Linked DNA regions of Mus musculus: all the other regions are reported to be linked to region 1. The links are microRNA targets in miRTarBase. Many come from high-throughput screens and were not tested one by one. Region 1 holds a microRNA gene; each other region holds the end of a gene's coding sequence.
The links. Region 1 holds the annotated microRNA mmu-miR-137-3p (UUAUUGCUUAAGAAUACGCGUAG, at 2,369-2,391, shown strand). A microRNA usually pairs through its seed, bases 2 to 8, with sites in the 3' UTR of a target mRNA and lowers its output. Matches are read on the target gene's strand: a 7mer-m8 pairs with bases 2 to 8, a 7mer-A1 pairs with bases 2 to 7 and ends in A, and an 8mer does both.

Region 2: miRTarBase lists Nr1i3 as a target of mmu-miR-137-3p. The part of its 3' UTR that is shown has no 7-base or 8-base seed match.
Region 3: the mRNA of Tbx3 is a reported target of mmu-miR-137-3p. Seed matches in the 3' UTR shown: 7mer-A1 at 3,444-3,450.

What each region holds. Positions count from the first base shown.
Region 1 is chr3:118,431,533-118,442,066 of GRCm38, forward strand. Mir137 (microRNA 137) reads left to right here and starts at 2,325; the gene lies at 2,325-2,397.
Region 2 is chr1:171,215,172-171,225,705 of GRCm38, forward strand. Nr1i3 (nuclear receptor subfamily 1, group I, member 3) reads left to right here. Exons shown (of 9, transcript NM_009803.5): 4 at 1,208-1,377; 5 at 1,575-1,714; 6 at 1,905-2,050; 7 at 2,143-2,259; 8 at 2,455-2,560; 9 at 3,418-3,674. The coding sequence ends at 3,547. It overlaps Tomm40l (translocase of outer mitochondrial membrane 40-like), which reads right to left and starts at 7,343. Exons shown (of 10, transcript NM_001037170.2): 1 at 7,204-7,343; 2 at 6,733-6,982; 3 at 6,401-6,468; 4 at 5,997-6,089; 5 at 5,634-5,735; 6 at 5,376-5,481; 7 at 5,130-5,252; 8 at 4,938-5,014; 9 at 4,623-4,725; 10 at 2,632-4,489. The coding sequence starts at 6,847. The coding sequence ends at 4,350. Apoa2 (apolipoprotein A-II) reads left to right here and starts at 9,883. Exons shown (of 4, transcript NM_001305549.1): 1 at 9,883-9,950; 2 at 10,116-10,195; 3 at 10,495-10,534. The coding sequence starts at 10,144.
Region 3 is chr5:119,680,511-119,691,044 of GRCm38, forward strand. It overlaps Tbx3 (T-box 3), which reads left to right. Exons shown (of 8, transcript NM_011535.3): 7 at 1-555; 8 at 2,121-4,214. The coding sequence ends at 2,582. Tbx3os2 (T-box 3, opposite strand 2) reads right to left here. Exons shown (of 3, transcript NR_040416.1): 1 at 10,498-10,534; 2 at 7,714-7,887; 3 at 4,578-5,544. Among named protein-coding and RNA genes, the nearest start is that of Tbx3os2, 5.4 kb to the right of the region's middle.

The DNA of each region.
Region 1 (10,534 bases):
AGTTCTGGTGGGAGTGCTGCAGGCTGTCCGCTTGGGCTGAGCTGTCCACTGGTCCAGGTGCTGAAGTGTGGAGCATTTGGTATGTAGGGAAAGGGCTGACTCTGTTGCTTGGTTAGGAAGAAAACCTATCGCCTGTCTTGTTCCAGATTTTTTTTCTTAAAGCATGCTAGTCTGTGGGTCTCTCTGTGTGTTCTTGTGTGTGTGTGTATGTGTGTGTTCTTGTGTGTGTGTGTGTGTGTGTGTGTGTGTGTGTGCGTGTGTGTGATTTTTCTTGTAATCCTGATAAACTAAGGGAAAGAACTTGGAAAGCATTGAAAAGCTGTGTGGGCATTTATGCCATGATTCTACAGCATGAGGAGAACGTGTGTATGCGAGGTGTGTGTATGTGTATGTGTGCCTTGACCATGCTTCTGACTTGAAAACCATTCCATTTAGTAAATCAAATCCTATCTGTGCAATGTGTTTTGTTTTCCTTTCAGAGGCAGTTGAGATTTTAAATAAAAGAGTAAAGAAGGAAATGCACACGTTGCTCATAGACTATTGCCTTACTTCCCCTAAGGGCTTTTGTTTCTAGGAGTTCAGGCTAAAGGGAACCTGTCAGCTTTCTTGATTTTTTTTCTACTGGTTGTAGTACCAGAGAAAAGCTCCATTTTATATCTATATTGGGTAATGGCAGAAAATAGTATTTATTAATTGTTTCACTGGCTTGAATCTTTTGGTAAATGGAGTTACCTAAAAAGATAACTGCAAAGATAGGCTATAGTCGGTGAGAAGTACTATTTTTCTTTTGAGTTATTTCAGGCAAACATTAAATCATAAGACCTGGAATTCATGTTGGTTTTTCTACTTGTAAGTGATGTGTCAGGAAAAGGATGAGTTGGTCTACCTGGAGAAGTGTTATATCAAAAAATAATAATGAGAGCAGGTACATCCTAAGTACCTTAAATTACAACCAGGTCAGTCAGAGATGAGTTGTGGTGGTGGGAGAGACTGTTACATAATTACTCCTTGATGGAGAGCTATTTGCACTTACATAATTTCAGAAATCATGTCTGTTGCCATCTTTCCATGTTCCTCCCCTCCACTCACACAGATGTACTTTCATGTATTTGAAAGTAAAGCAAGAAACCAATTGAGAACTTTCTAATGGAGCTGCAGCATGTCTTGGGTGGTGGCGTTCCACTGGTCCATTTTATTTAGTGAACAATACCCCCCTCATTTATTGGTATATCCACTCTAGGGTCTTAAGACAAAGCTGCTCAAGTAAGAGCTATGTAGATCACCAAAGAATGGGGGATTTTTCTCTTAATGTCAAAATTAGTCACTTTGAGAATGAGTTTTTATTGGGTTTCCTTCTTAAAATTATTTACTTAGGGCAGAGCTTCAAAGGGCTTTCTGTCAAGGTGTTCTCAACCCTGCACAGTGATGTATTCATAGTGAGTACTGAAAGGGTGGGCTGAGAAATTAAACACCCTGGCAGTTCTAAATGACCCTTAAACCCTAGAAGCTCAACCAGCTTGTCAACTTAGTGAGTTCAGAGTATGGAAAATGGGTTTAATTATTTTGTGCCTCGAAGCTGTTTCCCTCCCTTTAAAAACCATTATGTTGTACATAGCTCTAGGGCCTTCAATGGGGAGATGCCTATGTTTGCAAATCTATAAGTATTTGATTTCAAGTAATAAATTGAATGACTGCTTATTTTCTGTGAGAACATGCATTTCCAAAACACACTGTTGAAAATTCCATCAATGCATGACCCTATCTTGATCTGAGATTCACTTCTTCCTAAAGCCAGCCAGGCAAATACATTTGTAATATTTGTGTGCTTAACTATGCATGTCTTCTACAGGGTCCGCTCGCTGCCATGACACTCAATCAAAGCACCTAGAGTGAGCTGGTCATGACCAGAGTCCGCATGAAGCAGAGCAAATACCAAGGAGAGCGCTGGGTGACCACCAGGTAAACTGAAGGTTACTTATCGCTCCCCAAAGATCCTTGGCACATACTCTCTGCTCCGCGCGGAAAGAAAGCACTTGTCTGTTGTGTGTTAAGTGGTTGGTCCTGTGATTTGTCTTTCAGAATTGGAAATAGAACAGCCATTTGGAAGATCTGGGCAGGAAGCAATAGAGCACAGCTTTGGAGCCTTCTTTAGGGAAATCGAGTTATGGATTTATGGTCCCGGTCAAGCTCAGCCCAGCCCTAGCCAGGGGCGGGCTCCGCAGCAAGAGTTCTTTCTGGCGGCGGCGGCGGTGGCGGCAGCGGCAGCGGCAGCAGTGACAGCGGTAGCAGAGGCAGAGGCAGCGGCAGCTTGGCCCTCTGACTCTCTTCGGTGACGGGTATTCTTGGGTGGATAATACGGATTACGTTGTTATTGCTTAAGAATACGCGTAGTCGAGGAGAGTACCAGCGGCAGGCGGGCAGCGGCCGCCCCTCCCAGCCCACCAGCTGGCCACTAAAAGCTCCCGGTTGCCAAGGTAGCACTTTTTATGTTTTCTTTTCCTCGGGTGGTTTCGTTCTGGATCTTCCTGGCTCCTCTGGTGACCCAGACCGCTTTTAGAAGGAAAAGGGGCGGGGGGGGGGTGCGCGTCGGGGTGGGGGGGCGGGGGGCGAGGCGGAGGAGATGGGAGGCGGAGAAAGGAAGAGGGTCTCTGAAGCCCGGGCTGTGGGGCCCTTTGAGTAGTCTCTCTCTCTCTCTCTCTCTCTCTCTCTCTCTCTCTCTCTCTCTCTCTCTCTCTCTCTCTCTCTCTCGTAGAGGGCGGGTTGGCAAAGTGCGGATCTGAAAGATTCTCTAAAGTTGCAGAGGATTAAAAGGCCTGGACCAGTTTAGCAGCATCTTTGAGCGCTGAGCTAGAGCAGGGAGAGGGTCGCCTGGGGCATGCCTCAGCCAAAAGGGCGTGTCCGTGTGCGAAGGTGCCCCCCGGCAAGCTTGTCCAAGCTCGTGACTTCGCAAATCTCTGGCCTGGGGCGGAGCTGGAGCCCCACCCGCGACCCGCCGAGCTGCTCAGCAAGCAGACATGGAAACCTTGCTAAGGAAGGGGCGGGGAACAGGGGGCTGGGTCCCGGTGGAACTTTCTGATTACAAGTGTTGTGGGTCTCTGAGGAACCCCTATTTTCTTTTTGGATTCTCCGCGAAGATGTGGAGAAGCAGGCTGGTAATGAGATTGGTTGCACTGTGGCACAGAGCTGGAACCTTTCTGAAAGAGGCTGGGGCAGGCAGTGACTGTTCAGATGTCCAGTTTCTTTGGGACACTTCTCCAGCGCTGCCTTCCCTACCTCTGCCTTTGGAATGAGTCTCAAACATCAACAAAAATCAAGATATGTTCTCAGTCTCGGGTCTGCAGCAGAGTGATGAGAGGAAGAGAAAATCCTCCACTCTTCTTGTCTGTTTATAATGTTAATGGACCATAAAGCAATGTGGATGGGTCCCCTCCTAGCGAGGAGCAAGCAATCGCTGGCTCGATCCCTTCCATCACGCCGGGGCATTCCCGGGGCAAGCGGACTTAGCAGGAGTTTAAGGTGTTCCTTGGAGCCGGAAAATATGGTCCATCGTGGTGGAAGGCAAGGGCAGAGGCTCGAGAACTCAACCCTAGCTGTGAGCGGACCTCTTGGCTGTGCAGTTTGCTTTTCTTACTCTTTGGAGGCTGCGGGTTCCTTGGGTGCTTCCAAGGTGGGAGGAGAAAGCCTGGGAAGAGAGTGATTCAGGTTCCCAGAAGGTTACCAAGGCGGATAGACTTTAAGACCAGTTTTCCTCCCTTGCGCGTTGCCGGTTGATTTTGCTTGAGGGAATGGCTGCGAAGAAGACTGAATTCCAGAGAAGTCGAAGCTGCTGGAGAAATGAAAGCATCTCTTTCTTATGGGGTTCCCGGGACCCATTCTAAGCTCAGCAGCGCCCAGACACTTTCTTCCTCTGGAGTATTTGTCATTCACCTTTCAGGACTTGAGGTCTCTCTACTGGGTCCTTGCCTTGAAGAGCAAGCTGAACCCCCTGAGAAACTGCAAGAACCCTGGAAAAACAGCCTTTCCCATTTTAGGTCTTTCCCTTTCTTCCAGCGCTAGATCTATAATGATAGATCCCCATGCCAGACCTCTCTTTTCCTCTCCCTGTCCTTATGTGTCTGCCCCCTGAATGAGTCCCAAGCAATCTAGACTGATAGCACTTGTATTGTAGCTATGTTGATAAGAGGGGAAACGGGTGTGGTCCTGTTCAGACTCCTGGGAATGAGCCCATTTATCACAATGGGGTGAAGAAGCAAAAAGAAGCTGTCTTTGCAGGCAACATTCTGTCACTACTAAGAAAACTAACTATGTAACTAACATTCTTTCCTTCATTGTTCCAAGAACTGCCTTTCTTAGGGATCCATCAGTTGGTGATTAAGGGCTTTTAAATATTGTGCTCGTTAAGTATCTAACCACATTCAGTGTGTCTATGGGTGCTGTTGTTTCCCTGGAAATTAAAAAAGTAGAGAGAATTGGTGTGGACTAGCTGCTTGCTTTGCCTGGAAAGGTAATCTCATCTGGTTGACTAAGTGTGGAAGGTTTCAGGGCAGACATAGCTGAGGGACTGGTATTGGAAGGAGAAATGGAAGATGTCATATTCCATCATTTGTTGTGGGAATAAGCAAGCGCTCTCTCTCTCTCTCTCTCTCTCTCTCTCTCTCTTTTGAAAATAAGCTATTTCATTCAGTTCTTCGGCACTGGCGCTTCAGCTCATGATTGAAATCGCTTCATAAATGAATAATAAGTTTTAGAGTGGGATAATAGGAATTGAAAGAGAAGGGAGCCTTTCCCCATGCTATGACAAACGAAGTGTTTTGATTTTCTTCTGATTGCATGGTTTAAATTTTTCTCTTGAAGACTTATTTACTTATAAAAGTTTCCATTAGGTGTCAGTCTGACTGAACTGGTTTCTGTTTTAGATTATTGGGGCAGGGCCATTTCCCCAATCCAGGCATTGAAATAAAAGGGGGGGGGAATCAAATCAACCCAAACTTTATTAACTGCACATGAGTGTGATCAGTTGTTTTTGTGACCAGACAGCCTATTGTTTTAGATCAGAGGCACAGTTTTTAAAATTACATCACAAGTAGCCGCTCAGTGCTTTTACACTATCTGTATTTCTAGGCAGCAGGAAAGAAGCGCAAAGAGATTGTTGGTGGGTTTCACATTAGAATACACAGACACTAAGTAGCCACAATCATTTTTCCATTAAGGCCCACGCTCCAGAAGAATAGGCACCATCTTTATAATATTTGCTTTGCCTTAAGAAATGAAGAGAACTTCTATTTCCTTAAGCAATTGTAGGTATTGCTTAGACTCTTTGTTTGCTGGATAACATCACTTCTGGTATAATGAAAAGAAATGGGAAAAAACTTACGAATGTTTCTTTCATCATTAAGTTTTCTTTAAATAAGACTCCCTAAATGCTCAAAAAAGTATAGCCTCAATGCATGGTTTGATGATGAGAGCATTGGAATCCATGATGTGTGATATCATCCAGGGTGTATGATATCTGTGAACACTCAATTCACACTGTAATACATAATATTCATAAACAGGTGTAAGAAAGATCATCTTGCTTAATTGTTTGCTACTAAATCTCAGGTAAGGTGTCTGAACGACACTGGCCTTTACATGGGACTTGCTTATTTTCTCTGTGTTTACGTATTGTGTTCTGGTGTTGCTGCAGCATGTCAGGGAACTTGAACTCAGGACTAAAGATGCAGACGTCCATGTTGATTCCTATGCTAATTCACTAAAAAGAATTTCTATTAGTGACTTTCACAAAATATACTATTCAGTAACTAGTTATACTCCGGGACCAAGCTATTTTCTGAAGCCATTGTCAACCCTAGAACAAATACCTGGTATTACACCAGTGTGAATCTAGAACAAAAGCTCCTGACTACAGTCTAAACAAACAAAAGCATTGAGCAAGTAGCATGGTAGAAGGGGAAAATTCCATCAATTTTTTTTTCTTATTATATTTCATTTTGGTGATGGTAAATTTTTAACAGAAGAAATAGAAAATGGATGTGAATGTGATGGGAAGGGTAGGAAATATTTTTGTACTTTGTGTAGAACAGAAGAAAAAGATAGGCCATAGAAGAGATAACAGGAAAGTGAGGACCACAATTATTCACCATCTTCTTGACACTAAACTGCTGTAGCCATCTTTGTATTAGAAATGATAAAATGCTATTTTCAGAATTCTAGAGAGCCATGCATTCTACATAGTAAGTTTGCTTTAAAAACATTACTAATCACCTCAGAATACTTAAAGCCTTTCTTAGTTGTAGGTACTTACACAATTACAAACATAAAGGATAAATAAGTTTTAAGTAACACAGTCTTCTCCGTGTGTGTGTGTGTGTGTGTGTGTGTGTGATGTTTGTTTTCTCCTAGGGTACTTGTATGTTGTATCATTACTTAAAAGCCTTGAACTGAATTGAGGAATGCTTCATAACACTTTGCACAATGCTGTAAAATACACTTTTCAGCTATAAAGCATAACAATCAATACACAAAAGTGTAGGACAAAAAGAAAAATCAAAAAGTTTTACATTTCCCTGAAAAGTGTTTTGAATTCATTAATTAGTTGATTATTGAGTAAACTAGCAATAAAAGAAACACACTATGATATTTGCATTGCTGTTCAGGTGTCATTATCTGCAACTAGTTATATTGCAAATCAGAATTCTGTTATATCCTGATCAATTATGATATAAGTTAACTAAGAGAACCTGATCTTCAAAGGTTACATTATTAAATTAAATATATAATTATATATATTAAATATATAATGATTAAGTATATAATGATATCTGTACAAGCATTCTAAGGTATCATACTATATGTGTATGATAAAATATACACAGTATCATAAAATATACACATATATCAGGATGGTTGAAATCAAAAGTTTTTTCAAATCTAAAAGTCTACCCTTCCACTAATTCAATACTCAATTGTAAGAATGTAAAGCAAGCCTTGTAACATTTGTTTTGCTGCCTTGAAATTAGTCCTGAATCTCACCCGCTAAACTTCAAACTAAAAAGACAGAATCATAATCTAGTTAGTAATACTCTATTCTTGATTCGTATGCAGTTTGTATCACTGCATACTTCAAAGAGATGGCAAAGTATATAGTGAAGGCAACAGTTACATAATTCAAAAATAGTACGTATTTACAGCTTGAATGAAAAATAGATGGTACGATTTTTGTCACAGTTGTATGTCATTAAAAATTAATAATTTCTTAACTTTTGTTCTTATCATTGTTATCCTACATGTTAATAAGTAATTAATGATGCCCTTTTTTTCTATTAAGCATGTATGGTCTACTTGAGTACTAGCTCAAAGAAGCCACAAATTTAAAGTTACTAATTAATTAATTAATTAATATTTTATCAGAAAGTATCATTAGAAAAATCATTTCCCACCTAATTAGAATATGTAGAATAAGTTTTTAAATTATATGGGTAGTTTTTTATATAAGCGTCAAAGCATTCATGTTATGGCATGATTCTGAACTGAGGTTTATGAATTTGTTTTCATATCTTTTATTTTAACAGGCTTTGATTGTATTTACAAAGCAAAGTAAATGAAAAAATTAAGTTCAAAGTTAAGTCCTATGGAAAGCCTTCAAAGACTTTTCTTTAATTCTTATCATACTTACCATAAGGAAATGGGATATCCTATGCTAGAAATGTCATTGGAGTAAAAACTAGAAAGTCTTCCTCTGAACTCAGACTCTATAATGAACAAGAATCTGGTTGCAATGGCTGCTTGATCCTCATTGGCTTCTTCAGTACAAGTTCTCTGCTTAGACTTTTTCAATGCCTCCCATTTCTAGGGCTTTCAGAATCCAATATAAAAAGCTAAAACCAGCCCTGTAAAACTTTTGTTTGAATCTTACTCTTCCTTTCACATATAGACGAAATGCAGATGAATTCTATTGCTGAGATGTTTCAGTGCTACTAAAGAAACATTTATATCAAACAAAGATTGATTCTCAAGATTTTTACTTAATTATTATTGCTTAATTATTAAAACATGAAGCAAATAGAAAAATTCCCAAAACCTTTTTACCCTGAACTTGACATTTATTCATATAAGAAAAATTCATTCTAATGTGTTATCTTGGAAGTTTCCTTATCTCTGTGACCATATGATATGCTAGACATTCCCTAAACAATAATGGTCTCAGGAGTATTTCTGCCTAATGGGTACAAATTGCAAGCAACTTTGTTCAAAGTCACAAATACACACACACACACACACACACACACACACACACATATATATATATATATATATATATATATATATAGAGAGAGAGAGAGAGAGAGAGAGAGAGAGAGTAAGTGAGTAAGCACTCAGGTTTGTAAAACATTTATACTCTTAAAATTAATTTTATTTTAAAAAGGGAGTACAATGTTGTTAGCCTCTTATTCTGTTTGTAGGATCAATATTTGTGTGGAAAATTTAACTCGAATATTATATGACAAACTTTTTTAGTAACTACTACACCATCTGACATATAGTAGGTACTCAAATATACATTAATTTACTGAAAGCATTTATTGTTTTTAGGATATATATCATAGTGTGTGTGTGTGTGTGTGTGTGTGTGCACTCTCGTTGATATCAGTGTCATAAGTTTCCCTTATCTGATAACATTGTAAAAGTAGCTATTTTATAAAATTGGCTTTGGTGTGGATTGCATTTAAGTTAAATGTTAAGATAAACTCTAATTCTCAAATTTGCTTACTAATAGCATAAGCAAAATACTAATTTTTCTCTGTCATATATCACCCTCATGTAATTGAAAATCTATAAAGACATTTTCTTCAAACTTGAATTCTTTGATAAATTCCAAATAACACTTTAATATACTATAATGGGAAATCATTTCATGTGTCCATCACCTCTTGCATTTTATTTAAAATTAAAATGTAACTACCTGTACTATTCATAATCTTTAACTGTCAATCAATATATATATATATATATATACACATAGTATAATAATTATTTCTCCATAGCTTAGAGATATGTACAATTATTAAAATGCTTTTTTATTACTATTTAGGAAAGCAGACTTAATTGCCACTTCTTTTGAAAGCTGGGACATTCCTGGGTATCCCAAACACAATAACTATAAGTTCACTCCTAATCTCAAAAAGTAAACCCGTCCTCTAAAAATGAAGACAATACACGTTGTCAGCTCTTATTTCGATCAGATCATTTACTAACTGTCCAAATGTCGGTCAATAATATTATAAACCATGTCCATTTAAAACATCGAGGATAGATTTTAAATTTTGCACAGAGTTTTCAGTAACAACTGATTTCACTTAGCTGCCTGGGAGCAGAAACATGAGGCTTTGAAGCCATTTGTTAGTCCTTATATCAGAATGTACCGGGTCCTTACTGATGCTGAATACAGATATCCGAAGGCAGCTGTAGAACTGTGTGATAAACAGACCAAAAACAGAGAAAAGGAGAAGATTGTATACCCCCAAACAGGATTTTGTTATCTGTGGATGTTATATTCATTGGAAGTAGTATCCAATGTTACAATTTGAAGACAGTGTCACATTTGGATAGGGAAATTTCTGTAGACAACAATTGAATTTGACAAGAGTTGAGGGACACAGGTCATGAAAACAATATTCAAGGTGTGGACTGCATGAAAGAATCTGCAGTTTGAGGTGACATATTTAACAAGACAAAGAGGAATTGCAGCAAGGGCTTTTATTGATAGGGTTAATAACTGGCATCAATACACCTTAGAGAAAACATGAACTCCAGGAAACTTTAGAAGCAATGTTTGTCTTTATTTTAATTTGATGCTTCTTTTCTAGCTGTGATGGTCAGTGGCCATTACATAATTTATTGGTGTAGAAGGAATTGCTTCATAAAGTGAGTTTAAATGATATTTTAAAATGTTCTTGCTGTTTTTATTTAAGCAGAAATTCACATTGGGGTGTATAGAATTTCACATCCCGTAAAATCTGAATCATCTGTATGTACAATGGCCCTAGCTTGCATGTATAAAAATTCCTTCTGGCAGGATAGCTTAAGGTTTCTCAAATCCCAGGAACCATCATCTCTCTCTAAAGGCAAGCTTGGCTAAGGGAGAGTTTACATTCAAACGAAGACGGTCTATTTCAATCATTTTATTCTTACTGGAAAACATCTTATATTTAGATTACACTTTTGGTAGCAGGTAAACTCGGAAAATTTGTAAGACTGTATCAACAATATTTGATATAATGTGTAAGCACATGTGTTTTCTGAGTTTAGTTTTTCTACTCTGAGCAATTGGTTTAGCTCTTAGGGAGGAAGACTGTTTACTATGTAAAATATGTAAAGATACCGAAGGTTGATACTCTTCTTTCCACAGTGTAACCTTCCTTTGCAGAGACACAGAATGTGCTCCTGGGTGCTTATTTTCTTCAGATATAAGTATTTCCTAGTCTCTTACCCCCACAAAATTCAAAATTTCATGAGTTTAGGATAGGCATGAAGT
Region 2 (10,534 bases), not on the chromosome of region 1:
ATTCTGCCTGTTTTCAAAACTTCTAATCTCTTGTTTTAAAAAGCACTTATTTTTAATGTGTGTGTTCACCTGCATATATGTCTAAGTACCATGTGTGTGCCTGGTGCCCACAAAGGCTAGAGAAGAGTGTTGGATCGCCTGGAACTTGAGTTCCATATGAGTTGCCATATGGGTGCTGGGATTTTAACCCAGGTTCTCTGCAAGATCAAGTGTTTTTAACCCTGAATTAAAAGTATCCCTCCAGTCTCTCCCCATCCCAATCTCTTTCAAGGTATATGCTTTCATGCATATCCTCTTCCAGACTTTGTCTCTTAACCTCCCTTCAATACATCCCAGCCACACGGGCTCAGTGCTATCCTTGAGCGTGTGTATCAAGCATACTGTTCCCCAAGGCTTTTCCCATTTGCCATCCCCTTGCCTGAAATGCCCTTCCCCTAGACATTCATATGGCTTGCTTCTTCTCTTCTGTCTCTTAAGTACATACAACCTGTCACCTCATAGGTACTTCTTAGTTATTGCTGCTTTCTCTGTGACAGGTAACTGTGCTATGCTTCCAACAGATAACAAGGCTGGTCTCCCACAACTTAAGTTGTCGGAGTCAGTCAGCTAGGAAACAGAATCACACTTCGGAATCAAGCCTGTCTGCCCCTCAAACTCCTGCTTTCCCTCCCATACTGCTTTTCAACACAGAGCAGTGGAAAAGACTGTAGAAGCCAAATGACCCTGCCCAACCTATATCACTTATTGTACAACTGTGGAAGTGTTACTGGAGTCGGCTTCTGACACACACATGAGGTCTGAGTTAGAGTTGCTAGATCCACTGACATCTAGCCTCAGAGCCTTTGAAATCACGATTTATGCAGATACAAAGTGATGTTTCCAATATTAAGACCCTTCTTCAATGTTTCCAAGGAGCCAAACATTCTATACCCTTCCCACTTTATTCTCCACCCTCCCCTTCTTTCCCATGGTGCATTGCTTTCTGCTGAAGTGTATCACAGATGAATATGAGATCGACAGAAAGTGTGCAGGGATTCCCCTGCCATCAGGAAACATTAATTCAATGAAGTCCCAAGGAAGCCTCAGAAACTCTTTCTTCCTTCCTCCTTCCTTATCTGGGGAGGTGGAGTGGCCCCAACTGAAGGGATGGCTGAAAGGTGCTCGCTGCTGGTCTCAACAGCTTTGTCATCTCTCTTGCCTGACACAGTGATACTGTCAGCAGAAGCCCTGGCATTGCGGCGAGCCAGACAGGCACAGCGGCGGGCAGAGAAAGCATCTTTGCAACTGAATCAGCAGCAGAAAGAACTGGTCCAGATCCTCCTGGGGGCCCACACTCGCCATGTGGGCCCCATGTTTGACCAGTTTGTGCAGTTCAAGGTGAGAACTTAACCAGGATGTGACCTGGGTACCTGAGGAGGTAACCCACAGAAGAAGGCTATGCCCTGATGGAGAACAGATCTCCAGAATCCCACGATGGGCAGGTTCCTCAGCAAAAAACCTTTCTTAGATAAGCCTGGTGAGCCCTCAAGGGCAGCCAAGGCTGGGGCCTCTTACTAAAGCTCTGAACTCTACAGCCTCCGGCCTATCTGTTCATGCATCACCGGCCTTTCCAGCCTCGGGGCCCCGTGTTGCCTCTGCTCACACACTTTGCAGATATCAACACGTTTATGGTGCAACAGATCATCAAGTTCACCAAGGATCTGCCGCTCTTCCGGTGAGTAGCACATGGCCTTTCAGGAAGCAAGTGCTCGCTCGGTAAGTCAGACCGGTCTCCGATTAAAGACTGGTATGACATCCTTTAGCCTTCTGAGTGCTAGGGTCTTACATTTGCAGTGTGCCGATTGGACCTTTTTTTTGATGGATAGACCTAAGTCTAAAGTGCCCTTGTTTTCTACCCGACACAGGTCCCTAACCATGGAGGACCAGATCTCCCTTCTCAAGGGAGCGGCTGTGGAAATATTGCATATCTCACTCAACACTACGTTCTGTCTTCAAACAGAGAATTTCTTCTGTGGGCCTCTTTGCTACAAGATGGAGGACGCAGTCCATGGTGAGATGGTAGAACGGTCCAGGGTATGTATCTCAGTGGTATGAGGTGTGGAGCAATGGCCAGGAGGCTCCTCAGTCTACCATCTCTCACAGCAGGGTTCCAGTACGAGTTTTTGGAGTCGATCCTCCACTTCCATAAAAACCTGAAAGGACTGCATCTCCAGGAGCCTGAGTATGTGCTCATGGCTGCCACGGCCCTCTTCTCCCCTGGTGAGGATCATCCCAAAGCTGAGGAACTCTGGCCCCTTCCACCTCTACCCAACTCTCGGTCCCTTTAATCCTTCCCTGACCTTCTAGCTTTCAAGCCTAAGCAAGGGTCTATCTATACCATCCCCAGCCCCTATACAATGTGAGGCCCCCATCTGTGGCCCCTGCCACCTTGCCCTTCCCAGTCTCCTCTCTCAGACAGACCCGGAGTTACCCAAAGAGAAGAGATAGATCAGCTACAAGAGGAGATGGCGCTGATTCTGAACAACCACATTATGGAACAACAGTCTCGGCTCCAAAGTCGGTAGGGAGGAAGGAGGCAGCGGATTCGGAGGCTGCGCCGGGGGTAGGAAGGGATCTGTGAAACACTGAGCTCCGGATGGATGCATTTTACTGTTGTTTCCTTTGGGAAACCAGGTACTTAGGAATCTAGACCTTCCCTCGGACCACCCCATCCATCGCACACAGTATCCAGATTGCTCAGACTGCTGTGTTGTCTCCCTTTTCCAAGTTGTTGGCTCCTGTTGTTGTTTTCAGTCAGTAGAGATGCAAAGTCGTAGCTCATGGCCTGGGTGTGACAGCTTTCCTGAGACTGGTGACATTCCTTACCTCTCACCTCTCCGACTTTTCCAAACTAAAGTCAAAATTTCAAAGTCTTGTTCATTCTTTTGGCCCGCTCCTCTCCTTTGGGTCAATTCCTTGAAGTTTTAGGTCCCCTTGAAATTAGGATCCGTCACACTTTCACGGACAGAGCCTAGTTCAACAGTGCAGGCTCAGACATCTATGCCACCTTCGCTCTGCTCATTCCCTAATGAATCCGTTTGCTACGAGGGAGATGCTTTATACTATAGAATAACACAACCGCCTTCTAGAACTGGATCTAGAAGGCCTCACCTTCAGATTCTATACAGTTGACGTTTTGGCCAAGAACTTCTTTTACACTTGACCTCAAAGCCCTGGGTTCAGGAAAAACTAGGCACAATGAAGGAACAGTGTTGATAGAGGCCCTTCTTGGGTATGTCTGAGATTTTCCAAGATGTAGCTCCAGAGCATCTGCTGCTCAGACTTAGCCTCTCTGAGGAGTGGTCCAGGGGATAGGAACCTCAGGACAGGACTCCCAGCTGCCTTATTTCCCTGGTAACCCTGCTCCTTCCTCCAAAGGTTTCTGTATGCAAAGCTGATGGGCCTGCTGGCTGACCTCCGGAGTATAAACAATGCATACTCCTATGAACTTCAGCGCTTGGAGGAACTGTCTGCTATGACGCCGCTGCTCGGGGAGATTTGCAGTTGAGGCCCAGGCTTGCATCCTTTCCCCAGACCCCCAGGGATACACTGGCCTGGAAAGGGTACAGCGCTGGACCCCACACGGGAACCAGCAGGAAGGAGCTTGGGAGTGGCAATGAAATGCTGAACAGTCACTGTCTCTTAGTGCACTCATCAGTGGGGCGTGGAGTGGGTGGGGGACAGAGAGAAGGGAGGTGGGCAACCACAGGGCCAAAGTTGTTCTCCGGAAACACAGGGGATGGGAAAGATGGAAGCCTCGGGGCTAGGAGGTGACTAGAGTTCCTTCTGGGAATGGGTGGGCCCATTCTTTGGTCTTTCTGTGGCCAGAGATTTAACTCTTTAATCCTCCCTTCCCGAGGGAAGGAGTGGAAGACTGAGGAATGGAGAAACCAGGAGAAATGGGATAGGAGGCTTTTTTTTTTCTGCTCCCTCTTTCCATGCAGATTTCTCTGCTTTGAAGAAGGAGTAGTAATATCTCAATCAAACAAAAATAACAAAAAAAGTAGGGTGAGGGAAGCCAGACACATCCCGTAGTCCCTCTCCTTTACTCCAGAGCCATACAGCTTATGGGAGATTATAGTGGGGCTGATGGCAGTATTGGGAACCTCAACCCGCTACCTAACTGGAAAAAATGACTCTCCGGCAGTTCTGGTTCTGAGGAGGACATCGTCCTGTCCCCCCCACTCTGCCCATGGGACCTAGGAGTCATCCGGCAAGGTAGGCTCTGGAGAGGGACCAAGTTAGTCTCTGGCCCTAGGGTATCAGACTCAAAGGTTCCAGCTGCTGCAGAGGCTGCTCCCAGGACAACCTCAGCCCACAGTGATGCTGAAGCCGCAATGGAATCTGTTTCGCCAGTGATTGAGGAAGGCTCCAAGGGCTAGGGTGACAGGCAGGGGACGCATCTTCTTCTCCAGCACCGCACCAACACACCAGTTACTGTCCACCAAGCCTGCCGGGGAAAAGTATATTGACCCGGTTGATTAGCCAGACTTGGAGTATGGAGTCAACAGAAGTAAGGTAGAGCCTCCCTCCCTGCATGTCCCCAAATCCCTCACCACTTCTAAGTGTCTCAAAACCCTCACCTCTAAACACCATATCGGCCTGGGGCAGAGTCAGGTGGTAACCAAAGGAGAAGGTCGTATCTTGTAGCCTTGTATTTGCCTCAAACTCTACTCCAACCTGAACCTGAGAAGCAGGGACAAGAACGAGAGGAGGACCCGTCGCCATGAATCCCACAGGAGTTCTGGCAGGGTATAAGCAAGCTGGAATGCATGTGTGAAAATGTAGACCAGATGAGGCCAGAAAGAATCATAGGCCAGAAGCCTGGGAAGACTCGAGGGGCAGAAGGTTCTGGTTGACTGACTCACTAGGCTAAGAGATGAGCTTGGTAGTCTTACCTGTTCATTGGCCTTGTGGTAATAACTTGCATGGGCCCCACCTGACCCAACATTCAACGTAGCTACCCAGTGGACAGCTGCAGGGTGGGGGAGAACAGAGGGAAAAGGCAGTTACCATCGTAGATACAGGCAAAGGAACCCCAGAAAAGCCCCGAGTCTCTCCTCCTCACCATCATTCACTTGATCTCGTACCTGAGTACTTCCCAGCCAGAGTCAAGATGGCCCCCTCTTCTCCTGGCCGCCGGTGATAAACTAGCTCTCCTCCTAGCACAAGCCGATGGGTGATGCTCTGCAGGAAGTGAGCAACCATGATCACTGTCAGGGAGAGAGGATGCAAGAGTCAGGGAGTCAGGTTTAGTTTCTTACCATCTGGTCATTCCCACCCTAGCCTAGCCAAAAAGGTCCCCCCACCCCCAGAACTCCGTCCCAGTTCCCCACCTGATTCCCCAATCAGATCCGGATTTCCCAGGGTCAGAGTGGCTGTGTAGTCATCTCCCCGATACTCGCCATCAAACTGCCATGTCAGGAACTTGGCCTGCTGTGTCTGGGTGGGGAGAGTAACAAATAAAATACCCTTCTCTCTGTTTATATTCAGTATTGCCTCTGCTCCTCCTCCCCCTGCGTCCCCCAAGGCAGGATACCCATGGAGGAGAAAGAGAGGTGCCTCGGTGGATGGAGGCAGGAACTGTGGGTCACCTGGAAGACAGCCTTAGCTCGCAGCCGTTCTGCCAACAGAAGCAAGACCTGGGCGTTGAGACTGCCACTGCTGTCCATATCCCCCACCACAGTGGGGAACACCTGTTAGGGAGCGTAGACAGGAAGGCTGAGATGGGTAGGTAGCTCTATCCATTGGCACATGAACAGGAAGGGATTTCAGTAACATCTCACAGTGCCCCCTGGTGGACGCCAAAGACAAACTCGGGCAGCTTTGCACAGGACTAGCTCGCGTTCAGAAGAGGCACTGAGAACATAGTTGCTGATCACACACATTTCCAAATTCTCAAGACCTACGTCCATGTGCGTTTTACACAGTTGACGCGAGTGTGGGGGAGCCCTCACCTCTGTGGGGCTAAGCTGCCAGTCCCCTGCATAGGCGGTATGGAGGTGGTACCCTGGCAAGCCCAGGGCACTCATGTGCACAGTATGAGCCACCTGAGGAAAGAGGAGACAACGGAGAACAGAGCATTCTATTTCGTTTCAATCCCGTCTCCCACCCTTGACCTTTTTTTCCATCCAGAGGGGGCTTTTTAAAACCTCAACTATTCCAACGCATGCAGAGGGCCACTGGACTTTAAGCAACAAGTCCCACATCTTGTTGCTTAAAGGCATTGGGGGGGGAGGACCCCACACTTCCCCTCATTTGTCCCACATAGCCTAGCCAAGACAGGACTAATAGGTGTAAAGAGGATCCAGAGACAAGCAGGGAGGAGGGGGGTAAGTAGGGGCCAGACCAGTGGGAGCACCTGGAAATGGCTGCTCAGAACCTTGTTGACAACCAGCTTCACGCCTTCCATCTGTGCTGGGAATACATCTGAAGGGAAGGAACATGCACAGATAAGGACCCCTAACTACATAGACGGACTCCCCTTTCAATTGCATATGAAGCACTGGAGGAAATGACCTCCTTTCAAATCCTGCAACAAAACGCTCTGCTTTGAACATCTGGTCCTTTTTGACTGCCGGATGCTCCAGCTGTGATCTCCCCTCGCTGTTCACATCACTGGACATCAGCATTCAGGACCCTCCCCTTCTCTATGACCCTTCATCCTGAGACACCCAAAAGCTGCGGTCTCACCTTTGCACAACCGGTGCAGCTCGTCGAAGCTCCCGGGGTTGGGCAGCGGTTCCTCTCGACGGTGGCTCCGGCGGGGTAAAGTACCCATCGGTGCCAGGCCCAGGGTGTTCCCCATTTTAATCCAGAGGACAGGGAGGGGTTGGGGTTAGCCTGGGGATAAAATCTATTGCTCCCTCTATCCCCCACGGGCTCCACCCCCCATCATCGGGCTCCCCAGTTTCAGAAACTTCCATATGGTTCAATGCTAGACCTGCAATAAGGAACAGTAGGGGGAGAGAACACCGATGCTAAAGTTGAATCCCGGGCACACTCCCGCCCCATCGTTGATCCCTCACCCCCACCTGTCACCCCCGTCTGCTCTCCCATTATCTAGTCTTAACTACTACCGCAGGCTTCCGCTGACTTTCTAGTTTCTCTGTTCTTCATTCCCACGTCCCAAGGGTCTGCCCGCAATGGAACACTAGCCCTTACCATCTCAGACCATCCTGCAGCCTCTTTCCCCCTAGGCACACCCGGTCATCTTGATGGGGGCAGCCATCTTGAGTAATGGCAGAACTGCAGCTTCACCCTGTATTCCAAGCATGTCCGTAGGCGCCATCTTGGAAATGGGCAAAGGAAGCGCCCAAAGACCCAACCCACTCAATGATGAAAAAGGTGCCTCAATTTACTAGTGACCAATAGGAGAGGAGAAAACAGAAGAGTGGCAGGCCTGCAGGCCCCAGGGCTTCAGTCCGAGTGCAGTGGCGAGTGGGAGTTTGTGGGTGGCCCTTTAGACGTTAGTGGAAGGCCCCCTTTTAAGACCGCCCAACCTCCTCAAGGTCGAGATAAACTCTTGAGCATTCAAGACACTAGAGGGAGCATTTTGCCTATTAGACCAATGGAGTTCCTTAAACCGGAACGTGAGAAAAGTGAAACTATAGTTTGAAGACCTATTTTATGAATATATCACACTCAGGGGTTGTGAAGACGTGGTTCACTTTACCCTCCACCTTCCTGAAAGCCGGCTGGAGAATCCCCACAACTCTCCACTCTATACCACCTCCAAAGGACTGCTACTCACAATCCAACCCCCCAAAACAGACCTCTACCGCCCCCCGCCGTCCCCCCTTCCCCCGCTGGAATTCACAGGCCTTGCCTTCCCGGCGTGGTGGCGCAGGCGGATTTCTAAGTTCGAGGCCAGCCTGGTCTACAAAGTGAGTTCCAGGACAGCCAGGGCTATACAGAGAAACCCTGTCTCAACGACCCCCCCCCCCCAAAAAAAATGACTGTGAGAGTTCTGAGGGCGAGGAGAGAGTTGTGGGCAGAACTAGCTTCCGAAGCAGCTACCCTCTCTAGTTATTATTTACATGGAGAAAAGACAAATAAAATCTAAGAATACAACCGCAGCCTGAAGTTACGCTCCTCCCCCCAGGGCCAGGGGCAAGCAGTGATGTGACACTAGAGGTAAGTCCACAAGAGGACAACTGGAAATATGCAAGATTGCATATGCAAGGGTTGAAGAGATGGCGAAGTGGGTAAGAGCAGTGACGAGGCTGGTGAGGTGGCTCAGATGCTTCCCCAAAAGTCATAAGTTCACTTCCCAGCAATCACATAGTGGCTCACAACCATCTGTAATGGAATCTGATGTACCCTTCTGTTGTTTGCATTTATACATGCAAAGAGAGAGAGTCGTGTGTGTGTGTGTGTGTGTGTGTGTGTTTGAGAGAGAGAGAGAGAGAGAGAGAGAGAGAGAGAGAGAGAGAGAGAGAGAACTGGCTACTTTTCAAAGGATCCAGGTTCAAATCCTAGCACCCACAACTTTAATTCCAGTTCCAGAGAATCTGACACTCTTACACAGATACACGTGGAAGCAAAACACATAACTAAAATAAACAGATTTCTTGGTCTTCGGTTGCACTCTCCCTCCCTAGCTTCCACACTTCCACCCCCGTATCTCTCACTAATATTCCAGTACACACAGGGTAAGCTTGGTGGCAAAAAGGTGAGTGATAGGAATGTTTTCAGTAGCTACTGAGTTGACTCCACTGGAGAGCCCTGGGCCTAGCGAATGTACCTCTGTCCTTCCACACAGTTAGAACTGGGCCAGGGGCCAGGACCTAACTGATAAGGGGATCAAGTGTCCAGGCCCTTTGACCTTGATTTGGACAGAGCCTCTTAACTACTGAGGTTGGGAGCAGGAGGGCAGAGGCTATTTTTCTGAATTTGTTTTTTGGAGGCAGGGAGCACACATTGATGAGAACCCATAAATGGACTTGTATTTCATGATTATTTTAAAGGAATTTCATTCATGAGACCTATCAAATACAATAATTCCAATGCAGCATTTTCTCTGTGTGTCTTTTGTATGTCCGTGAGGGGTGTGTGTGTGTGTGTGTGTGTGTGTGTGTGTGTGTGTGTGTGTGTTTGTGTGTGTGGTGTTCATGCCCCCTTCCTATCTCATTACACATTAACTCAAAAAGGGACAGAGGCAGTTGTACCTGTTCTGACTTATATCTTCATAACCCCCATTCCTTTCCACCTCCTATTTCAATTCATTTCCCTTCTTCCTCTTTCTTCCTCTTTCTTTCTTTCTTTCTTTCTTTCTTTCTTTCTTTCTTTCTTTCTTTCTTTCTTTCTTTCTTTCTTTCTTCCTTTCTTCCTTTGAGACAGAATCTCTCTGTGCCGTCCTGAGACTCACTATATAGATCGGGCTGCTCTCAAGTTCACAAAGACCAATCTGCCTCTGACTCCCCGGGGCTGGGATTAAAAGCTTGTGCCACTGTGCCTTGCTCCTTTCTCCTTCTGTTCCCAAATTCCTCTCTGCCAAATTGCTATGAAGGGGTGAAGGGTTGGGGAAATGAAACTTGTCCATAATAAGGTAAAGATGACGAGGGCTAAGAGCTGCATGTTGGAGCTTTCCAGAAAAATAACTTAGAATCCTGATTACCTGATGGATACATATAAACCCATCAACTCCTGATCCCAAAAGGATAAATCATAAGCAGACATTGGCCTTCACTAGAGTTTATGCCCCTGTGGTTCACTGTGACACCAAGAGTCCCTTTTGCTTGTCCTTTTGTCCATGTCTAACCCTTGTTTACTCCAGCCTGATCTCTGCCCTTCTGGACTTGCCATTCTCCGTATCACCTGACGGGGTGGGGGTGGGGGAGTATATGTGTATATAGCCCCTACCTCCAGTCAAGCCCAGAGTAGACGGGAAGGACTGCAGCACAGAATCGGTATGCTGAGGGAACAGAGCTGTGGGTGGGCAACGTGCAAAGAGCATGGGACTTTAATTGTGGAGAGGGAAGGAGCTAAGTTAGAGTGAGCATCCATCTGGGTGGGGGGGAATCCCTGCAAGGGGCTGAAGCCCCTCTGACGGCAGTGTTCTTTCTCACCAGCAGCACTGTTCCTAGGCCATAGTCTGCCATCATGAAGCTGCTCGCAATGGTCGCACTGCTGGTCACCATCTGTAGCCTGGAAGGTGAGGTTTTGATACGGGGGAAACCAAAGGAAAGAAGGTACTGAGAGTCTTGGCTGCCCAACTCTCTTGTGCTTCTTGTATAGGTTGAGTGCATCAACCAGTGGACTCAACAGGAAGATTATTCTCTTTCTAAAGTCCAAAAACCCAAACCAACTCAAAACCACCAACAGAAAATACGTAGCAGGCCACCAATTTGGGGAAGGGGCTAAAAGCTGGGGTGGGTCCTGTGGGGTGTGAGGGGAGACCGGGATTCATTGCTGGCAGTCTACATGCAGAGACTGTGATCTATGTTTGTGTAGGAGCTTTGGTTAAGAGACAGGCAGACGGACCGGATATGCA
Region 3 (10,534 bases), not on the chromosome of region 1:
GACAAGGGCAGCCCAGCAACCAGGGCGCAGCTGTTCCCCGCGGAGCCCAGCCGGGCCCGCGACACCGCGCGTCTGGACAAGGCATCGCCAGACTCGCGCCATAGCCCGGCCACCATCTCGTCCAGCACGCGAGTTCCGGGAGCTGATGAGCGCAGGAGTCCCGGGCGCGAGGGTCCAGTCGCCACCAAGGTGGATGAGGCGCGCGCGATTCCTGCCAAGGACGCCTTCGCTCCACTGTCGGTGCAGACAGACGCCACCGCGCACCTAGCGCAGGGGCCCCTCCCGGGCTTGGGTTTCGCCCCAGGCCTTGCGGGCCAGCAGTTCTTCAACGGGCACCCGCTCTTCCTGCACCCGGGCCAGTTCGCCATGGGCGGCGCCTTCTCTAGCATGGCTGCAGGCATGGGGCCCCTGCTGGCCACAGTATCCGGAGCATCCACCGGCGTCTCAGGCCTAGAATCCACAGCCATGGCCTCGGCTGCCGCAGCGCAGGGACTGTCTGGGGCGTCGGCTGCCACCCTGCCCTTCCACCTCCAACAACACGTTCTGGCCTCCCAGGTATTGCTTCCTGCCTGCCCGCCTATCACCCACCGGTCCAAGCCAGCCTCAGTCCCAGTCCCTTGACTAGGAGTGTTAGCTTGTAATCCATGCTAGTAACTATTAGAATATTTTATTGACCCTCAGCAGGGTGTAGCATCTATCTTACTGAGCCTTCTTGAAACCTACCCTCCCCACCCCACCCCACCCCCAGCTCCTTTTTAAATTGCTTCTTGTAAATTAGGCTGTGAATAGCTTAGCTCCACACTATTAGCTTTGTGACAAGTTTGGGTCATTTGATGTATCATCTCTGGCCCAGAGAGGTTGAATCCCTTGGCTAAGGTCACACAGCTGGTCCCTTGGTGGAGCAGAGCCTGGGATGAGCTGACTCTTCAGGGACCTCTTTTGGTTTCTCCTTCCTGCCAACTTGGTTTACTGGAGGCTCATAGCCACTATTACCCCCCCAGGAGAGATGTGGGGAAGGGAGGTCACTGATTCCCTGGGTGAGAATTTGGTCTGGAGTTGAGCAAGCCTTCTCGCTAGTTCAAAGCCTTTCTCTTCCACCCGACTCCCAAACAGCCCAGCCTATCTCTAAAGGGTTAATGGGTTGCACACACGTGGGAAATGTCAAAGAAGGGAGGGGCTGGCAAGCTTGTGTGTGTGTGTGTGTGTGTGTGTGTGTGTGTGTGTGTGAGAGAGAGAGAGAGAGAGAGAGAGAGAGAGAGAGAGGTTCAGACAGCTGTGCCTGTGCAAGGAAAGTGCTCAGGAGAAGGCTCTGAACCCAGTAGGAAACCTCTCTGGTATTTTTTTTCTGGCCTACTCCGACCTTTTGTTTTGTCTGAGCATATTCATCTCCCTTGCCTGAGCCAAAAGACACAGGGTCCTCCTCATTGGGAGAAGATGGAGCTGAGAAAAGGGCTAGCCTCTACCTTACCACCAACCCTACCTCTCTGCACTGCCCCGCCCTCTCCCCCCACCCCAGACAGGCAGGTGACAGGTGGAGGAGGGGCAGCCAGAACAGACTAGTCTAGTGGCATCAGGTAAAGGACACACCCAGGGCTCTTGCATTCAAATTCTGCTTCTGTTTGGTCTTTTTGCCCCACCCCCTCAAGTGCCTCAGTATCCTGCCTGGAAACTAACCTTCGAGGCTGGGCGCTTGCTATCTTAATAAGTAACACCTTTTTACTCCACCTCCCACCCACCCACCCAATTTCACATCATTCTTATTTTCTTACTTGGGAAAGATCTAGAGTAGAGAATGGAAGATACTAAGATACTGTGTGCACCAGAATTTAACTCTAGCCTCTTTGGTGGAAGCCCTCGCTGAAGCCACTCAACAGGTGCAGCTGCTCGCCCTCCTGGGAACTTGTTAATAGCCCCGAGGGTTAGGCACCATAGATGACATATTGTGGAAGATTTAATAGCCACGGAACTCTCCAGTCTATTAACCCCTTAGTTTAGCATGCAACCCAGGAAAAGTGTCCCTCCACTCCTCCAAAACAGGTGGTTTGCCCCAGATAGTAGGCGGTGGAGGAGAAGGGTTCCCCACTCTCTAACTCCCTATGTTTCTTCTCTCTCTTCCCCAGGGCTTGGCTATGTCGCCTTTCGGGAGCCTGTTTCCTTACCCCTACACATACATGGCTGCAGCAGCTGCAGCCTCCACCGCGGCCGCCTCCAGCTCCGTGCACCGCCACCCGTTCCTCAATTTGAACAGCATGCGCCCCAGGCTGCGTTACAGCCCCTATTCCATCCCCGTCCCAGTGCCGGATAGCAGCAGTTTGCTGGCCACAGCTTTACCATCAATGGCTTCCGCCGCGGGGCCCCTAGACGGCAAAGCGGCCGCCCTGGCAGCCAGCCCAGCCTCGGTGGCTGTGGACTCGGGGTCGGAACTGAACAGCCGCTCGTCCACGCTGTCCTCTGGCTCAGTGTCCTTGTCACCCAAACTCTGCTCCGAGAAGGAGGCGGCTACCAGCGAACTGCAGAGTATCCAGCGGCTGGTCAGTGGCTTGGAAGCCAAGCCAGACAGGTCTTGCAGCGGGTCCCCTTAAAAACAAGAAAAACAAAATCGCCCCCTCCCCCAAGGTCTCTCCATTCCAGTTTGGTCAAATCTGCCAGTGCACTTTGTTAGATGTAAAATAAACCACGGGCCTTCCACATGGGGTGACCCCCGCCCTGTCCCTTTCAGTTTTGTCTGGGAGGGAGCACTAAAGCCTTTCCAGAGACTATGCTAGATACCACAGGCCCTGCCACCATGGGCTGTGTAACCAGGCTGCTGTTGCTTTGAAACGCGGGACTGAGGGGGCGGGAGGAGTGGTGGCAAACAGGCTTTTGTGTCTAGAGCGACTTTTGTGCAGGCTGGTATGGAAGTCGGGGCTGAAGAACAAGGTAGCCAGGCCAGCCAGGAGCGCGGGTCTTTGAGAGACTTCACCGGAATCTTTCCCCCTTCGTGTGTTTAGTGGAAACATCCCCCCTCCTAAACAAACTAACAAAACCAATATGGAGGTGGGGGGAGATGAAGTCCTGTGGAACTGTCTATGAAGACTGAAACTCACCAATTGCTGAGTACTTTCGTTGGGGCAGAGAGAAGAGGGGCCTTACCTTGCCCCATCTATATTAAAGGAATCCTGTCTTTTTTTGTTTGTTTGTTTTTAAATATTGTGATGTTTTAAGAGCCGATGCTGGCTTCTTTTTTGCATGTTACAGTTTTCTGGGTTTATTTTGCCCCCCCCCCCTTTTATGGAAAAACAACGGAAGTCCCATTATCCTCAACCTTGCTCAAGGCGGCAACCAGGAGGAAGTGGGGTAAAAGGGGCAGCTATGGGCATGAAACCAACCGAGTTGATTTTTATCTGAGCGCTTGTAGAGGGCTTCGTGTGCCTGTTGGACCATTAGTTCTTTTAACTGTATATGCAATAACAAGGTTTTAAAAGATAATAATAAAGAGGAAACACGACTATTGGACAAAGTATTTATGTAATTATTTGATATCTCTTGTAAATAGGTGGAATATGACTGCTCAGAAAGTTAAACTTTAATTTATTGAATTGTACATAGCTGGATGTAAATAGGAGCGTGTCTGTCAGGTTTTATTCTTGTTTTGCCTTTTGGGTCTTATTTCCAGGTCAGGAGATGGCTAATCCACACTAGCAAGCCTAGGCATCTTTATTCACATCTCCATGCTTTCAAGTAGAGCTGGCTGCAAAGTTTTTTTTTTTTTTTCTGATGGAGGGGGTGGGATCGGGAGTACTCCTAACTATTTTCACCAAAATTGGGGAGGTAATGGCCCTTCCGGGCTCCACTTGAAATTCCCTAAACTCTTGACACCCCCAGAGGGGTTGAGATTGTTGTGTGAGTAGGGGGGGGGGGGGAACGGCCTTGCGGAGGCCACCATAGAACCGTCCTAATTTTTCATAGACTCTGGCATCTTACTAACCCATGTGAGGTTTTCATTGTTCATCTTTATGGTGTTTTGGATTGGTGTACTGAGAGGGACTTGGTTCAAACGACCATGAAAGGCAAAACAAAACAAAAAATTAAAAAAAAAAACAAAAAACAACAACAAAAAAACAAAAAAAAAACCCAAGAAGGAGTATTTTGTGTTTAGTCTTTGATGAGTTTTCTGTAATTCTCCCCCTCTTTAAAAACATCACTGAAATTTCAATAAATTTTTATTGAAATGAGTTTTGAAGTTGTGGTAATGATTTCTTCAAGAGTTGTCTTTCAGAGCCGGATCGAGGATGATCTTCCAGTCTGCTCCCTTCCTCTCTAAATAATAATTAAGACCACCCCCACCCCTCCCAGCAACCTAAAATGAAATGTCACTCAAGTTAAAAGGCTGAAAACAAGTCCCTTGCTCCGGCGAAGGGAGCCACATTTGATTTGAAAATATTTTCCCTTTAATTTAGGGAGCAGAACGGGAGAAGAAAGGGGCCTGATTAGGTTTCCTAAAGAGGAACTTCATATACTTCAGTTTTAATGGGAGAAGATTTTTACCCTGTGTTCAAAGTCGGCTCCCCCCCCCCCCCAGGAATCCGACCGGAAATAAGAGCTAGGAGGGGTTTTCGCTTTTAATTCGTTTTTCCCTTTTCTGACATGGATCACAAAACAAAATAAATAAGGTCCGCTACACCCACGGAATCTAGCACAGGAAAAGGCCAAGCAGACTCCCTTATCCATGGACATTCAGGGCTGTGGGTAAGGCCCAGGAGTGGGCTCCACAGTGACCATGAGAGAGAGGCAAGGTGCTTTCGGAGTCCACATGGAACACCCAAGGCAAAAGGCACCGGGGAAGCTACCATCTCATTTCCCTAACCAGTCCCGAGTCAGTTAGGCAACCTATCTTTTTGAAGTTCAATTTATCTTTGAATCTTTCAAATATATACATATATCAATCAATCAATTAATCAATCAGTGAAGCCTCTGTCCTGTCCTGTCATTCTTCAGTCTCCCCACCCTCCAGGATCCTCTCGGGGGCGTGTGTGTGTGTGTGTGTGTGTGTGTGTGTGTGTGTGTTGTGTTGGAGAGGGGTTACAAGGGAAGGTACTCTAGAGTTAGCCCTTAGGACTTTCTTGCCCTGGGGGCCTTGACTCAAAGACCCAGCTGGAGCCCGCCAGGCGGCTGACTTGCCCCCAACCCCCATCCCGGAGCCCGCCAGCCGGGCCCAACGTCCCTGTCACCTCTTGAATGGAGAGTCATGAGGGGGGCCCCTCCTCTCCCCTCCTGTGTTTGGAAGAGGATCCAGCTCTAGACCTTGGAGGGGTGGGCAAGCCCCCCTTTTCTAGCCCAGGCACGTGGGGACCCGCACTGCTTCTCCCCAGCTGTCTAGGGAGGAGGAGAAAACAACGGGAGAGAGGGGACTGGAGAGTGCTTAAGGGGACATGGGGACGGGAAAGGCCGGTCCTCTTCGGGACCAAAACTCTTCTTCACAGTCCGCCCTGGGAAGGTGGTAGTTGGCTCATGGCCTCCGGCTGCGCGAGCTCCCAAATTGAGGAGAAAATAGCTCGGCTTAAACTGCGGAGAAAGCAGAAACCAAACCAAATCAAACCAAACTTGCTTGGCTTTCTCAGTCGGATTTTTCTTCCCTCTTTCCTCCTCCATCCCCCAAATTTGGGGACAGTGCCCAAACCTGTCCCCGGCCCCTCCTCAGACTCTCTTCTTTTCTTTCCTCTTTCCTTTTAATCTCCGCTGTATCTTATTTATATATAGTGCTGTTAATGTGTAACTCTTGTGGCGCTGATGGACCAGGGGTGACTCGCTCGCAATCTCTCTGAATTTCTGTACCTATTACTCACCTGGCGCCGGTCGCAATCTCGCCGCGGGCTTTATGGTGGTGGTGGCGGCGGCTGCGGAGGCCACTCGGGGCCGGCGCCTGGGTTGGTTGGTTTTTTTTTTTTTTTTTTTTTTTCCCCTTTCCTTTTTTTTTCTCCTTGGCTTCGAGTGCCACCTGTCTGTCTGACCCACGAATGCGCCCTGCCTAACTGCGGCTGGCTAGGCACCCCAGAGCCTTCTGGATTCTGGAACGTGAGGTCTTCACCTCTGCGCCCCTTTCTGGTCGCACCCCCCCCCCACGACCCCAGTCTGACATACCCTCTCCAAAGCCACCCCGCCCCGCCCCCACCTCACTACTGTCAGAAGAAGAGCCAAGTCTTCCATCTATCCCTATGTGGGCCTCAGACGAGATTTCCAAGGGATTTTTGGAAAGTCAAGGAGGGGGACTGTAGTTCCTTATTCTCTCCGTGTGGAAATATGGAGATACAGGAGGAGGTAACCAGGATGGAGGAGTAGCAGATAAAAGGAGACACCCGCACCCCTCCCACACACACACACACCAATCTGCCCACATAGTCTCAACTCAGACCAACTTCGCTTTGTCCAGATTTTTTGTTGTTGTACTATATAAACTCCAAGTTTGGGACTTTTCTTATTTTTCTCCCGGCCGCGTCTACAGGGACAAAGGAAGACCAGAGTTCTTGCAACCACCAGCCCCCCTTGCGACTCCCATCCCCGCAGTGCTGGGGGACCTGCAGGGCTGGAGTGCCTTGGAGATCCGTGGATATAAGGTCATGAATGCTGGTACCGGTTAGAACCCTCCGGGCGCCCGCCCACCAGCCCGCCAGTGGGGAAGATCGGCTCCAGGCTGCGCTGGCGTCTGAGACCGGACGGGAGGGGCTGAGGTCACCTTCGCTGGGCTTTAGAGCTGTGGGTAGAGGCGTCCGGGTTCTTCCTGACCTCCTGGCGCTAATTGCAGGGGCCGAAGGGCGTGCTTGGGCACAGGCAGGGGTCGTGACCCTGCAGTCAGCCCCCCTGCCCCCGGTCTAGGTTGTCCTGTAGTAACTAGCGAGGGGTGTACGGTGTGTAGGCTTGTACAGAGTCTCTCTCTGAACCTGAACTGTCCTAAGATCCACCTATGCATGGGTGAAAGTTTCGAAGTAGGTAGAGGCCTTTCAAAAAATTCCATTCGAGGAAAACCAGAGATCTGACCTTTCCCCTAAGCCAACAGACAGGCTCCTTGAGGCTCTATAAGACCGCTTGTAACCTTGCCGTCAGCACACTTTCTGCCTCGCCGGCTTCTAAACTTGGGCTCTTGGCAGCCAGCCAAGAAAATAGCTATGGGGGAGTATTTGTGTGCCCCCCCCCAGCGTTCCCCCAGGAGTGGCCTAATATTGTCTAGATGAAGCCATAGAAGTCGGTACCTACAAGGAGCGGTGGGATGCTGGTACTCCGAGCCCAGGGGCCCACAGGTGTTAGAAAGCCATGTGTGTGTTTGCGTGTTCTTGTGTGTGCTCCATCTGCGGACGTCCCTTCCAATTTGGATTTAGGAGTTTCATTTGCGAGACAGTTCCGGATGTAAAACGCACTCGGTTGTTTTATAATCAAGATGCGTATAATCAAGAAATATATGTTGCAGATGTGGGTGTTCAAAGCACACAGAATAACCACGATAGAAATTGATGGCGTTGCAAGGGGGGAACGCGTGCGCGCTCTGGCCTGGTGCACTTGGGGAAAGCACCCACGAAGTGACCTCAGTCACTCGCACGATTAACCCTGTAAAGGGCGTTCGATTTTCAGGCCCCGTGGTAGAAAGCGCCAGTACGCAGACGCAGGCAGATTAAAGTCGTTAACCTGAGCTCTGCTGGCGCCCCAGAACACAACCTTTCTTCCTAACTCAGGTGTCCCTACCTGCAGTCCCGGATACAGAGAAATTGTGGGTCGGCTTGGGGATCGGCTGCTTCCATTCTTCAGAGGTCAGGATTGTAATTTTGGTGTGAATCCCATGGTGCAATTGTCAAAGTAGGGCTTTGATTTGGAATCAGGACTTCTTTCTCTCCAGGTGAAGACTTGGAGGTTGAGGCCCTGTGGATGCCAGGTAGAAGGGATTAATTCGTCCTCAACCAAATACTAGAGTGGTTAGTCAAGCAGGCCCAAGGTTTATATCCTGGCTTCCTCTTTCTGGCAGATCAGGGACGAAGCTGAGTGTCCTAGGCTCCCAGGCTCAGATGCCCCTTGGGATCCCCAGAGTCTACAGTTGTTCTCTTTAGCCAGGAGCAAAGGCCTAGAGCTGGACAGACACAGACACAGGCTCTGCAGGTGGGGATTCTGGGAAGATCGTGTTTATACTTTGCTAGTTTGTTCTGTTCCTTTTCTAGAAACCTCTGCAAATGCAGGTTTTGGGTTTTTTTTTTGTTTTTGTTTTTGTTTTTCCTTTCAGGTCCTCTATTTGCATCGCATCGATGTGACTTTAATTGCAAGAGACAGAAAGGGAGTAAAAACCAGGGTTCTGCTGAGAAGCCAGAGATCTTAGACAGAGGACCAGCCCCTGGGCGATTGTAGGCCACACACATTCCCCCACCCCCACCCCCATAAGGTGCAGAGGACCCAAACTGAAGACTTGTCTCCCAGCTTTGGTCTAAGCCTCAGGAATAGGAGACAAAACCAGGGGGACCGGAAAGAATTCTTTAGAACAGGGTACCGACTGATGGTGCCATCTGGTTTTTCACATGCCCCTACCACCAGCTGCACCAGTGCTAGGATCCCAGGCAGCCCAGTATTGGCACTTTTAGAAATTCGATACCCCGGCACTTTGGTTTCCTGCTAATGACCTGGGCTCTGGTTTCGGATTGCTGAGTTGTCTGGTCCCCAGAGCGGTGGTTTGTCCTCCCCAGGACCCCAGAGCCAACCCTGGACTTGTATTCTTTCACACCAGCATTTTTCTTGGCCTCACCAAAGTCTCCAAGTGTCAAGGACACTATGGACACCAAACTGACCCTCGGGTAGACCTTCCTTCCTTCCGGTCACCTTTGTGGGGCTGTCATTCATTTATCTCAGTCCCCAGAACCAGCATCTTGTAGGATTTTTTTTTTTTAAATCTCTCTGTGCCTAGAAGAGGCATTCTTCACCCTGGCAGTAGCTCTAGCTATCTCCCAGTTCTCCCAATCTGGCAGAGAGCCTTGGGAAGAGCAGGTTTGGAAAGACAGTGCCATAACCAAACAACTCAGGAGCCACCACACAGGAAAAGCAACCCCTCTATCGGCCCAGCCCAGCCTGCTCTCCCCAAGGTCAGCTACTCTGAGCTCACTGGCTATTCTATAGGGCTATTTTTTGAGGAGCCCGTGAAAATTACACAGAAAATGTAGTTTACATGTGCACAGCCTTCTGAAAGGGCAGTAGAAGTTCAGATTCTCGGAGATGTGTGATCCTAACCAATGACCTACTCACACACTGCTCAGGGGACAATAACCAATGGGGTTTAGGAACATTTGGACTTAAGATTTAAGATGGTGCCTTCAGCCTGGGGCTTGCCTAGGTTAAATTTAACTTTAGCACACACACACCCCACTCCCCACTTCCCACTTCCCACTCGTAGCGCCTGGTCTTAGCCTGCTTATTTTAAATGGGAAGGCTGAAGGAAGTAGGTGTGTTCGGGCACTGTATAATTAGTTGATTAATCAGTTATATTAACTTATCAGCCGAATGATTATGAGCAGTCATTATCACCCTCAATGAGTTCTCTGTTAATTTCCTGTTGGGAGGGTCACCCTCTCTAGGCTATCCCAGGCAATAAAAAGCAACTACTTTTCATAAAACAAAATTACTTCTCACTAGAGGCCAGGGTGGAAGGTATAGGAAACTGTAGGGGAGGCCCTTTTGTGGGGAGATTTCTGGGGTCCCGGCTTGGGACTGGGTGGAGTGGGGGGGATGTGGCTTCAATGTTCACCATACTGTCAAGGTTAGCCAGGTTTCCTCTGCTCCATGCCCCCTCCAACCCTCTCAGGACATTCTAGTTTTCTGTTTGATGGTATCTTGTTTGATGACAGCCTTTTCTCCTGCATCCCACGTGGACCCCTCTCCCCACCAAATCTCAGTGCTCTTGCGTCAGACTCTTCCAAGTTCTGGGATCCCAAACTTTCTCCACTAAGACATACATGAGGGGTGGGGTGGGGTGGGGTTGGCTTTTGGGAAATACCTGTGTGGATGTTGGAGGAAGGCTACTCTGGGGCCTGGGGGAACACCTGTATAGAAGTCAGAGCAAAGATGAGAAAAAACAAAAACGCAGGAACACTTTCAGTGATATGTAATTGGCTCCCCCCCCCCCAAGCCAAGCCTGCACAGAGGACCTCGAATTAGGAAGAAGGTAGAGGCTAGCCTGGGTGTGTTTTCTACCTTTCTCCACTACTGTGTAATTTTTGACTTATCATAAAAAAAAAAAATCCATGACCATCTAAAGAAACGCTCAGGAAACAAAGGGGACATCTATGGTCCGTTTTTCTTTATTTCCTTCTGATTACTGGGGAGGAAGGCCTCTTCGCTACCCCACGAGTAAGCTCAGCCCGGCTGTATCCTGCTCAGCCCCAAGATTTGTTTCAAAAATACCATCCATGAAATCGGAAGCTGCCTGCTTGACTCAAGAGACTCCAGCCTGCCCACCAGACACCACCCATTTCTCAAGACAAATGCCACACCAACCTCTCTTCCACTCCGAGCCTGCCCCCAGGATTTTCTT